Callithrix jacchus: one gene and its partners. The protein of the gene in region 3 interacts with the protein of the main gene of each other region in a biochemical or structural test. Links are inferred from orthologs where the notes say so. Each region holds a gene or a part of one and is shown on either strand. Other genes may lie near its edges. The genes, in order: RNF14, TRIM33 and UBE2D3.

The links.
Region 1: the proteins of UBE2D3 (region 3) and RNF14 form a complex in vitro, tested with the Homo sapiens proteins (2 studies listed by BioGRID, with this or other methods). The link is inferred for Callithrix jacchus from reciprocal best matches to the Homo sapiens genes UBE2D3 and RNF14.
Region 2: the proteins of UBE2D3 (region 3) and TRIM33 form a complex in vitro, tested with the Homo sapiens proteins (2 studies listed by BioGRID). The link is inferred for Callithrix jacchus from reciprocal best matches to the Homo sapiens genes UBE2D3 and TRIM33.

What each region holds. Positions count from the first base shown.
Region 1 is NC_133503.1:40,423,115-40,426,769, reverse strand, and holds part of RNF14 (E3 ubiquitin-protein ligase RNF14), read right to left. Parts: intron 3,562-3,655; coding exon 3,410-3,561; intron 1-3,409. UniProt on the Homo sapiens protein: E3 ubiquitin-protein ligase that plays a key role in the RNF14-RNF25 translation quality control pathway, a pathway that takes place when a ribosome has stalled during translation, and which promotes ubiquitination and degradation of translation factors on stalled ribosomes.
Region 2 is NC_133508.1:152,390,155-152,393,809, forward strand, and holds part of TRIM33 (E3 ubiquitin-protein ligase TRIM33), read right to left. Parts: intron 3,145-3,655; coding exon 2,998-3,144; intron 2,542-2,997; coding exon 2,424-2,541; intron 1,011-2,423; coding exon 736-1,010; intron 67-735; coding exon 1-66. UniProt on the Homo sapiens protein: Acts as an E3 ubiquitin-protein ligase. Promotes SMAD4 ubiquitination, nuclear exclusion and degradation via the ubiquitin proteasome pathway. According to PubMed:16751102, does not promote a decrease in the level of endogenous SMAD4.
Region 3 is NC_133504.1:94,547,521-94,551,175, reverse strand, and holds part of UBE2D3 (ubiquitin-conjugating enzyme E2 D3), read right to left. Parts: intron 3,465-3,655; coding exon 3,371-3,464; intron 2,950-3,370; coding exon 2,901-2,949; 3' UTR 2,900-2,900; intron 1,465-2,899; coding exon of another isoform or gene 1,419-1,464; 3' UTR 1-1,418. UniProt on the Homo sapiens protein: Accepts ubiquitin from the E1 complex and catalyzes its covalent attachment to other proteins. In vitro catalyzes 'Lys-11'-, as well as 'Lys-48'-linked polyubiquitination.

The DNA of each region.
Region 1 (3,655 bases), on a different chromosome or scaffold from region 3:
CCTAACACTATTTTTTACTGCTATGATACACTGTACTCAAGATAGTATAAACATTCTTATTGGAGTACTTCTTAAGCTATTCAGCAACATGAGCTGGAGTAGAACACAAAGTCAGGAGCAAGAAGAACCATGAGAACAAGAGAAACAGGAAGACTCCATAAGACAGAGAAATAGCTGCACATTTTAGTCACTGAAATGGAGGACTTTTTTCTGTTCTTTAATCTTTTAGTATTGCCGTAAGTTTCATGTAGGAGAAACAGATCTAGTTCTAAAAATAAACTATTTTTCTTCCATTAGGAGTCCTAGCCCTGTCAGTATCCTAGAATAATGGTTAGAAAAAGAATCATTTAAAAATACTATCCAAGTTTTAAAATTAATTTTCAGTTCTATCAAGAAGTCAACTCATCTGAAACAATCACTAACAGAATTCAGCCTCAGAGTCCTTGTTTAGATTTAGATTTACAAGCTGCTTTTAACTAAGCAATCTGGGCTTATATCAGATCCCAGTTAATGGAGAAAAGCTGACTGACATTGACCCTGGTCATAATCAGAAGCCCTCAGCATGATTTAGCAGCCATAGAGAAAGCTTACACTTCCTAAGATAAGCAACTGAAGTTAAATTATTTGGAGTTTTTCTCTTTAAAAGTGGTCTGTTCAATTTGAAAGGCAAATATAAGAGGATTCTCCATTAGAAATATAAAATATTTGTAATAGAGCACAGGAATTATAAGCAGCTTTTCTTTTTTAGGTAAACATCCAAAAGTAGGCCTTCCAGATGGCAAATATTGTAAATTTAAATGACAAATAAAAAGGGACAAGATTTCCTGTTTCTTACACTCCGCATAGTGCCACTGACTAAACCCTGCACAGGTACTACCTTACTTATTAATCAGTTAAGATTGAACAACTAATGGTTTTTCACATTGCATAAATATGCTTATAAATCAACCATGCTTTTGAGAAATCTGCTAAAAAATCTGTAAAATGTGATAAATACTAAAAGGGAGGCTCTGAGTGCTGTGTGAGCTACCAAGTCCCATGAAGAAGCCATTCTCCAACTTCTTTTCTTCTCCAGTCCCTTCTCAAGAGAGGCAGCTGGGGCTGTGCGAGGTGGCTCATGCCTATAATCCCAGCACTCTAGGAGGCTGAGGTGGGTGAATCAACTGAGGTCAGGGGTTTGAGACCCAGCTGGCCAACATGGTGAAACCCCGTTTATACTAAAAAATACAAAAAATTAGCCAGGCGTGGTGGCAGGCGCCTGTAATCCCAGCTACTCGGGAGGTGAGGAAGGAGTATCGGTTGAACCTGTTAGGTGGAGACTGCAGTAAGCTGAGATTGCACCACTGCACTCAAGCCTGAGTGACAGAGCAAGACTCCATCAGAGAGAGGGGAGAGTGAGGAGAGAAGGGGGGAGAGGAGGAGAGAGGGGGGGAGAGGAGGAGAGAGGGGGGGAGAGGAGGAGAGAGTGGGGGGAGAGGAGGAGAGAGGGGGAGAGAGGGGGAGAGAGGGGGAGAAAGGGGGAGAGAGGGGGAGAGAGGGGGAGAGAGGGGGAGAGAAGGGGAGAGAAGGGGAGAGAAGGGGAGAGGTGAGAGGGGGGAGGAGACAGATGCACCTGGGATGCATGTAAATTGAAGAGAGAGGGGAATTAAGGGAAAAGGAGCAAGAGACTATGTGAGTATACTGGGGGAGGAATAGGGGAAAATACTAGAAAACTAAAACCACTTCCCTCTGTCTACCCACCCCAATTCGGGGAATGGCACCTATAACGTTGTCAATTTCACTATTAACAGGTGAGAGTCATAATGACAAGGAATCAGGGTAGATCAACTAACAAGAATTGAACCAAGAAGGAATATAAGAGACCAATTAAAATGTCAATTATATGCATAAACAATTATTTGACAAAGAATTCTACTGTAAAAATTTTAGCTGTAACACATAAAACAACTCTCTTCCCCAGCACACACCCCCGCACCCAAATCCAGCATTAAGTGGATGCTGGTTAGCTGCAATCTGAAACTGCAACCACACATCCAGTTAATCTGTCCCTGTTTTGTGCATGTGTGTGTGCGGGTGCACACACATGCACGGATGTAAAGTATGAAAAGCTCACTGGTGAAATGGGACTATGAATATCTAAATAATTCGGCCAATTATCAGTGACCTAAATGCTAAACAGTCTTGATATTCCTGAACAGATCAACTGTCTTGCATCTGCTGCCTCTGGCACAGATATTAGAATGTAAAGTAATATTCCTTTTTATTCTAATGGTATTATCTTTTTTAAGGTTTAAACCATAAGCTCAAATTTACAAAAGTACTCTAACCTGAAAGATTAGCTTGGTAGATGGGGGAATGAAAACTGTATGATCCAAAGAGAAAAACTAATGAGCCCTTGAGGTCAGCAAATCTGACAGCTTTTTGTTTTGTTTTGCTTTGTTGTTTTGAGACAGGGTCTCTCTCTGTCACCTAGCCTGGAGTGCAGTGGCTCAATCTCGGCTCACTGCAACCTCTGCCACCCAGGCTCAAGTGTTCCTCCCACCTCAGCCTCCTGAGTAGCTGGGAGTACAGGGATGCACACCTGGCTGATTTTTGTATTTTTTTTTTGTAGAAACTGGGTTTCACCATGTTGCACAGGCTGAGCTTTCGTCTTAATACACATCAGTCTATCAATCTTCATTATGACTTCTAGAAAAGCAGCTGCTATTGATTCATTATCTATCCCAGAACACTTTATCTATATTTAGCTTCAAGTCATATTTATGTCTCAATCAAGAGTTGAGGCTGTTACTAGAAAAGTATATATAACCCAGAGGAAATGAGGTTCTTTACATAAGGCCTCAAGCCTTAATGAGATATCTACAGGAACTGTACACATTTCTACTTGTATACATTCATGTCTACGTGATACCAGTTGACTGTTACTTGTTATTAATATAGATTTTTACAAAGCAAAGCAGTTATTGTATTTACTCAGAAAATTTTCTTATTATAACTACATTAGCTCAATTTTTAGTCCTAATTAAAGTGAAATCTTTCATTTAAGGAATGGATAAGAACCTAAGAAAAAAAGTAGTATCAATATTTAAGAAAAATGAGGAAGATCTCATAGTCTACATTATAACACAGATTAAATAGGAAAACAGCAAGACAAGAAAAGAAATATACTTGATTAAAAATTACTCCTATTACAATTCATGATTGCTTTAATTACTGCCATTCCTTTTTAAAACACCAAGCATTTTTAATTTCTTAGCATCAGGATCCATCAAGGCAAGGGAAAAAAATTACAAAACCAAAGCCATTTGTTTTTCATGCACTGAATTCAAGATCATTAAGGTAGTCTTCAATTAAAGACAATTTTTAAGTTTCTAAAAATGGATAGGAAAAATTAAGTTTCAAGTCTAACCTGAGTTGGTGACAGCCATTTGCCACTAAGTGTGAATGAAGGTGGGGAAGAGGATGGATAATCTGGTGGCAGTTCAAAGTTCAGCACAAGTGGCGGCAGAAAGCAAATGGTGTATTCAAAGCCACTATTCTGGAGACACTCATTTGAATTGCCTGAACCAAAAACAAAGATTAGAAAGGATCAGTTGGTCAATACTTGAGTGTCCATTACTGTTGAGCAATGCTCAAGAAAGACTTAATGCTTTAG
Region 2 (3,655 bases), on a different chromosome or scaffold from region 3:
GGCTTGAAAAGCTCCACAGTTCATGTTGCCTCTTTGCATTGTTTGCACACTGATCAATCGAGGAGGCTACAAAAAGTAGAAATTGCAATTTATGTAATAATTTTAAAATAAATTTATCTTTCAATTATAAAAATAACTGAGTCAAGATAAAAGGGTATAAAGTAAGAAGTATAAATAATTCTTATCGCTAATCCCCAGAGGACTGGTAATGACTAGTTTGTGTATCACTCCCAATTTCCCTTTTCTCTCTCTTTCCCGCTCCCTCTCTTTTTCTCTGTATGTGTGTTTAAAGCGTATCAACATTAACTTATCCCATCCTGGAGTAATATTTTAATTGGGAAGGCAGTGGAAAGAGCAAAAGATACCCAGGGATAGGAATGATTTGAACAAATGCCTAAGGAACACATCAGATCCTAGGCAGAAACAATCTGGTCCTTTGGTCCACACAATTGTAAGTGGAAAACAAAAAAGATCTGATGTGAAAGGATGAGAAGTTAATCCTTCCAGAGTATTAGTTAATTAACTGTTTCCCTAGACAAGTTATTTACTTACTTCCTTTCTTCACACCTCCCTTACATCACCATCATAACCTGAGCAAATATTTAAACACTGACGTTTGAGCTCTGCTCAAAGTCCTGCTAGTAACCTTGAAATGTGTAACTTATCTAATATAGAAAAAAGTATAGTGCTGGGGGCTTTATAATTTCTATCAATAATGCAGCAACGCATACTTACCTGTTGTTGTAACATCTGAGGGGCTGCTTGTCTAGGATGCTGCTGTGTTGTTGTTGTTGTAGTAGGTACAGGTGCTGGTGGTTGCTGCAACCTCATCTGTTGCAACTGCTGATGTTTCTGTGCATACACTTGTTGTTGCATGTGCTGAAGTCGAAGCTGTGCTAAGTTAATCTGTCCAGGGGTCTTACTAATGTGGTTTGTCCCTGGAGGAACTTGCCCAACTACTACATTAGGAGTATAACCAGGAGCTGGTTTATTCTCTATTACTAGATTACCTGAAAAATTTAAAACATGAGAAGAATTTGCATATAATCAACTAAATCATCTATTTTGCTGAGTAATCACAATGTTTTCCTCTCTTCTCTGACAACTATCAGCACCTCAAAGCTCCAACAGTACAGCAGGAAATGGAGTCCATTTAAAGATAATGATGATCAGAAACTTAATACATTGCAAAGCTGAATAAATGACTTTTGGTTATTCAGAAAAATATATTTCCTGTCCTTACTCTTTTTTACTCAGATGTATAGAAAATTAAGAGATTATAAGAGGTATCAGATGAGGCCTGTCTAATCAATCTAAATCAATTCTCCCATGACAAGACTTACTGAAGGATACTCAAGATTGCTAATGCTGATTGCATCTGCCTTTGAATTGCCAAAATGTGCAAGGCAGAGCATTACAATGCCACAAAATCATCTTCTCTGGAAATACTGAACGCTTTAAACAATTTATATCCTTAGAAGTGATGGTTTTCCTTGCTTTTTACAGAGCCACTGCTTTCTAGGGATAGAAACCAAATTTTAGGAAGATGTGATTTAAGGGACAGGTGGACATGCTTTCCCTGTAAATGGGCCATAGTGTAAATATTTTATGTTTGGCAGGCTACATTAGCTCTGTCTCACAGTCCTTGGTTTTTGTTTTTACAACCACTTGAAAATGTAAAAACCATTCTTAGCTACAATGTCACACAAAAACAGGTGGCTGATGCCAGAACTAAGGCTATAGCTAAATTTGAATATAATTTTTTTCTTTTATAAAAAGATTAGGTTTTTTTTTTTTTGTAAATAGGAGGCCAACCAGCCTCTGCTTTTATAATTCCCACTGTTTAGGACTTAACTGTTCTGAAAGTGAGTTTACTCAATCTGCAGATAGCTCTGTAACTGCTAGGAAGCTTGTGTGTATGTGTTTTAATTGAGCTCTCTGTAACTTTCACCGATGGTCTTTAGCTCTCTACTATGCTGTAATAAAAGCAAAATCCATTTCTCTTCCATGTGAAGAGCTACAGTTATCTTTCAAACATTCCTCAAGACATAACTATTGGACACATCAGCATCCCATAAGTCCGCCGCTAACGCACAATACGGCTTAAACATTTAAACATTTATGAAATTCTCCAGACAATGAACCATTTGCTAAGATTTCTATATAAAACAGTCAATATAAATTTAAAAGATCGGGGTCTAAAAACAGTACACATTAAAAAACAATATACAGAGTAGACTCTCAACTTTCTTAAGATGTAATGACAGCCTTACAAAACCACAGCTAAAGTGAGTTTCCAATGAATAACAGACTTTCTAAGTAGTTTTACATTTTAAAGTTAAAAATTTTATCTAAATTCGCTTTAGATGTCTTCTCCTAATTCGGTGTTCCAAGTTATATTCATAAAACCCATTATTTCTCACCTAAATTGACTACATTCTTTGCCCAGAAGGTGGGATCACAATGGAAACGTATTGCTCCATTAGCAGCAGGGACAGGATCACACCGCGCTTTCAAAATGTGACGCAACTGAAAAGTAATCTTAAAGGGAAAAATATCCACATTAGTCTCAAAATTAAATATCAATTGGGAAAACATAAGATAAAGACATTAAGAAAAAAAGCACATATATTCTCACAATGTCAGCCTCAGATTAGGCAGTGTCAATATTTAAGTTAGCAATCAAATCAAATGTACATGCTTGAATTTTTACCATTTCAGGTAATAAATTTCATTAAGATACTAGGTATCTTTTAAAAAGTACATACTAGATAATTCCACTTATATGAAATTCTAAAAAATGATAGAAACCAGATTAGTGGCTGCCTAGGGGAACAAGGAAACTTTGGGGGGTGATGGAAGTTTTCCGTATTTTGATGTGGTGGTGGTACATCTGCCCAAATTAAAATGTGTACTTTAAACAGGAGCAGTTCACTGCATATAAATAATATCTTAATAAAATCCTTTAAAGAAAAATAAAAGCAGTATGTGTCTCACCAGTCGCTTGCTGTACAGTAGTGCTGTGCTGCTGCCACTTGCAATTGCCCAATTTGTGAAGTTCATAACGTGCTTCACCTGCCGGGAAAGGCCTGTGATGTCATTCTGCTGCTGTAGTAACTTCATCTGTCTTTCTTTTGTAACATTCTGAAATAGAACAAGAGCTTCACTGAAGAATTCTATATGAAAAAAAATCAACCCCAAGTTTCTAATGCAAATAGACACAATACCTATACTTCCTTTAAAAATGGGATAAGTGAATAAGCTCCATGATTATTTAGCTAGCCTATCATCAATCAGAGGAAAAGCCACTAACAAAAGTGGAACTAAAACTTAGTTCTCTTAGCTAAAAAGGATATTCCACATATAGAAATTAATGTTAAGTTACTGTCTGTTTTCTACGAACACATGCCTGTTAAAAATAGTTTCTTCCTATTAGGTTAATCTACAAATACAGTATTTATAGCATAAGGAGCTAACTTTAGAAATAAACTTATGTAATCTTAACTCTATAGGTAAAAAAATTTTGTGTCACCAGTGCCACCTCCTGGTGTGGCATAAGAATGAAGTTAAAATCTCTCTTAAATATCCAAAACAAATGAAAAAGATAACTTCCAGAGTTCTAAAAGCAGAATTAAGGAAACTTTTGATATGACAG
Region 3 (3,655 bases):
CATTCATGTTAAGTCACCTGAAATGATATCTGTTGCATTTAAATGCTCATTAATGTAAATGGCTGAACAAATCCATTTCAATGGATACTCAATATCCCACATAGATAAGTCACTTCAACACAGCCTCATGACAACTCCCACACCGAAACAGTACTTTATTTTGTAAATTTTGACCCATTATTACTCCCATATTATGTTTTTTTTTTCAGCTGTCAAGTGTACAAGGTGAAGAGAAATTTCAGTTAGACAGGGGCTGCACCTGGAAAATAAATTTCTTAAACTCCATAAACACATTTCAAAACTGCTGGGTCCCAAAAGTCCATCTATGAACTCTAGGGCTGCCAGTATCATGTGCAGCACATTAAAGCTACACTATCCAAATAGCTTATTAATTCTGTATAAATCAGGTCAAGCAATGTGTCAACCTGTAACAGACTGTGCACTTTAACTGAACATGGCAAAATATTCACTCTTTTGAACTTTACATCATCATTTGATGTCAAACAATGAAGCAAATCCCAACAGTATATACAAAAAACAGCTTTGCATTTACAAAAGATTGTTTCCCATACTGATTAATCCAGGCAGCTAACTCATTGGTTTATGCAACTTTATTGAAGAAAAATAAATCAATTACTAGCAGAGCTATTAGTTGATCACTCATCCATTGACAACTTGCATCATTTATTCAGTGCTATATTAAACAGTGTACTGGAAGACAGATTAACTAATAGCTCCAAGCCTCCTAACAATTTAAATGAAAATTACAAAATGTTTGAGACCCTATTTTGGAATACAAAGGGTGTTTGACTTCCAATTTCCATTCTCTGTAGAACAAGAACAGGTCATTCCTTTATTGACATGCATAAAATACATCACATTTTCTGTTCTGCTGATGCTATAAATTCAATACCAATTCTCCAGCCACATCAGTTATGAGCATAAAGTATATCATGTAACCTCAAATCTCTAACAGTGGAAGGCTTAAACAAGAATGGATGCTGCTAGAATAATGCTGTTTCCTTTGATGTGACAACTGAGCATCCATCTCCCTCCCCCTCAGGATGATTTCTTCAGCATGTTAGAGCAGTGAGGAATGGTTTTAGTCTCATAACCAAGTTAGAGTGAAGATATTGGCCACATAATACACATGCTCCATTTTTTAAAAAATTCTGAGTCGTGGGCAACTGTTCTCTTGTAACTACTTTACAGTTTCTAAAAGCAGTTATTGTCCAAAGCTGGAAGAACTTAAGTCTTCTCAGATGAGCATGTGAATGAATGGAGGGAGGTAAACAAAAAATAAAATTAAAAAAGATGAGGTCTGATAGGGGAGCAGCCGGATAAGAAAATCAAAAAAGGAACAGTAATTTAAAGTTTATTCCAGCTATAATGCAGGTTATTCTGACTTTAAGGTAGCATCACATGGCATACTTCTGAGTCCATTCCCGAGATATTCTGTTGTACCTGTAAATAAAGATGTTATTTTTAAAAGTTAAAATAAAGTGAAAGAATTCCTAATACTTTAAATGGAAGGGAAAGATTTTCATCTCCAGACCTATTATGAAGTCATCTCTAATGACTATGATTAGAATAAAAGCCAACATGGGAGAAATAGTATTGGTACTCAAAGCAATGTGGGAAATTAGAGTCTGATGCTCTGAAAGCAGTATTTTAATAAACCTAAGAAAGCAGCACTACAAATTGGGAGGCTAACAAAAGTCAAAAGACCCTTTCTCTCCACTACCACTGAACGAGTACTCTAATTTTTAACATGAAAAAATGTTTAAAGTAGTATACAAATTCTATCTATCCACAGACATTTCCAAAGCCAGAACCAGACTTTTACTAAAACAATTTTATCTGAATCCTGGAGTTTGGGAAATTACTTGGTCGTGGATATTACAAGAAAAAATGCCTTTGAGACTTAGGCAGAGGCAGAAGGGGAAGATGACATTGGGCAGATAAACCGCAATCATTTTCAAAAGAGGTGTGTGACTGGTTGTGTTCATCAGAATGACATGTTACTTTTAATAAGTGTGGCAACTGAGGCTAATAAGCCCCATCAAGACCTATTGAGTACAACCAGAACATCTTTGTTGAAAAAGATCAACAGGTAATTCACACACAAACAAGGTTATTACTCAGGAAGGCTACTAACATTGATAAATACTATCAGTTTCCCCTTGAATTATACTAATGCCATAGACTACTTACCCCAACAAAATACTGATAACCTTAAGAAATGAATACATATTAAAGGACACAGGAGAACTTTTATATTTACAGTTCAAATATTAACTAGCTTCATTTCAAACCAAAAGCCAAATATGGTCCAACGACTTCCCTATACTTGTAACATACACAAGTTCTCCCTACCAATCATGGTTATCTCCTACGGATACTCTCTCACAAAGCCAGCACTTTAAAACAAAGGCTTTATCTAGCTAACATACAGGGAGCCGCAAAGTACAGCTGACATTAATGCATGCTTGTCAGTAATGAACATTTAGTTTAGATGCTTAGGCTTAAAAGTGTTTTTCCCTTACATTACTATCTCCTGGCAAAATTTGAAGTAAATCACCACATTCCATATAGTATTGATACAAAGTCTCAAGCTAAAACTTAAACACCATGGTAGTTTGAAAGAAAAAGATACTACATAAATTCCCATTTCTTACTAGTGCTATATAACTGCTTTGCCATGCAATACTTTCAAGCAGTAATGGCTACCAGGTATTTACTTTCACGTTAAACAGAGATCAAGCAGTTAAATGTACACTTTTCAGAAGGCTGCCACATCTGTTACCTTTTGTTAGTTAATACAGTGCCTTAATGCATGCAGCACTCAAGTGCTGGCAGTACCATGAATAAGCGCACCATAGAGTGCAGATCCTCTTACCCTACAACATAGCGTATTTCTCTGTCCACTCTCTTGCTAACCTATTGTACCTAATTGAACAAGTATACTTAGCATTAATTATAACATATGAAAGTTGTAATGGTTAAACTGAACATAAACATAATTCAAATATTTGAAAAATTTAGACCAAATTTTTACAATAGCACTTAACACTTTTTGGAAAAACATGCTTGGGGTTAAGAAAAATTTGCTTTCTTCTCCAAAATTTCAGAATAAAGTGATAAACTGTTTAACACACTAGGAAAAACAAAAAAACATTTTGGAGGGGGGCATTCACTGTCACATTAGCTAAAGCCTAGTAAGTTTTAAATAACCACATTTCAATAGCTAGCTTTCTGCATATTTTAACTATTATCTTACTAAGTATCAAGTCGTCTTGGCATTGTCACAAGCAGAGTATAAGCCTAACTCATTAAGTAAAACCATTTTAATAATAACTTTTTAACATACTTATCTCTGTCTGTTTTATAGATCCGTGCAATCTCTGGCACTAGGGGGTCATCTGGGTTTGGATCACATAGCAGTGAACAAATGGATAAAAGAACTGCAAGGAAACAAAAACATCTGTTATCCAGTTTCAGGAGTTTAGATAAATAAATGTATTTAATATGCTATTACAAACCTCAATCCTCAAAAGACTTATATTACTTTTTAACTCAATCTCAATAAGACAAAGACAAGCTCCTGGTAAGTAAGAAGAGCTAAAAATGGAGTTTGTGACATCAAATTCACTGC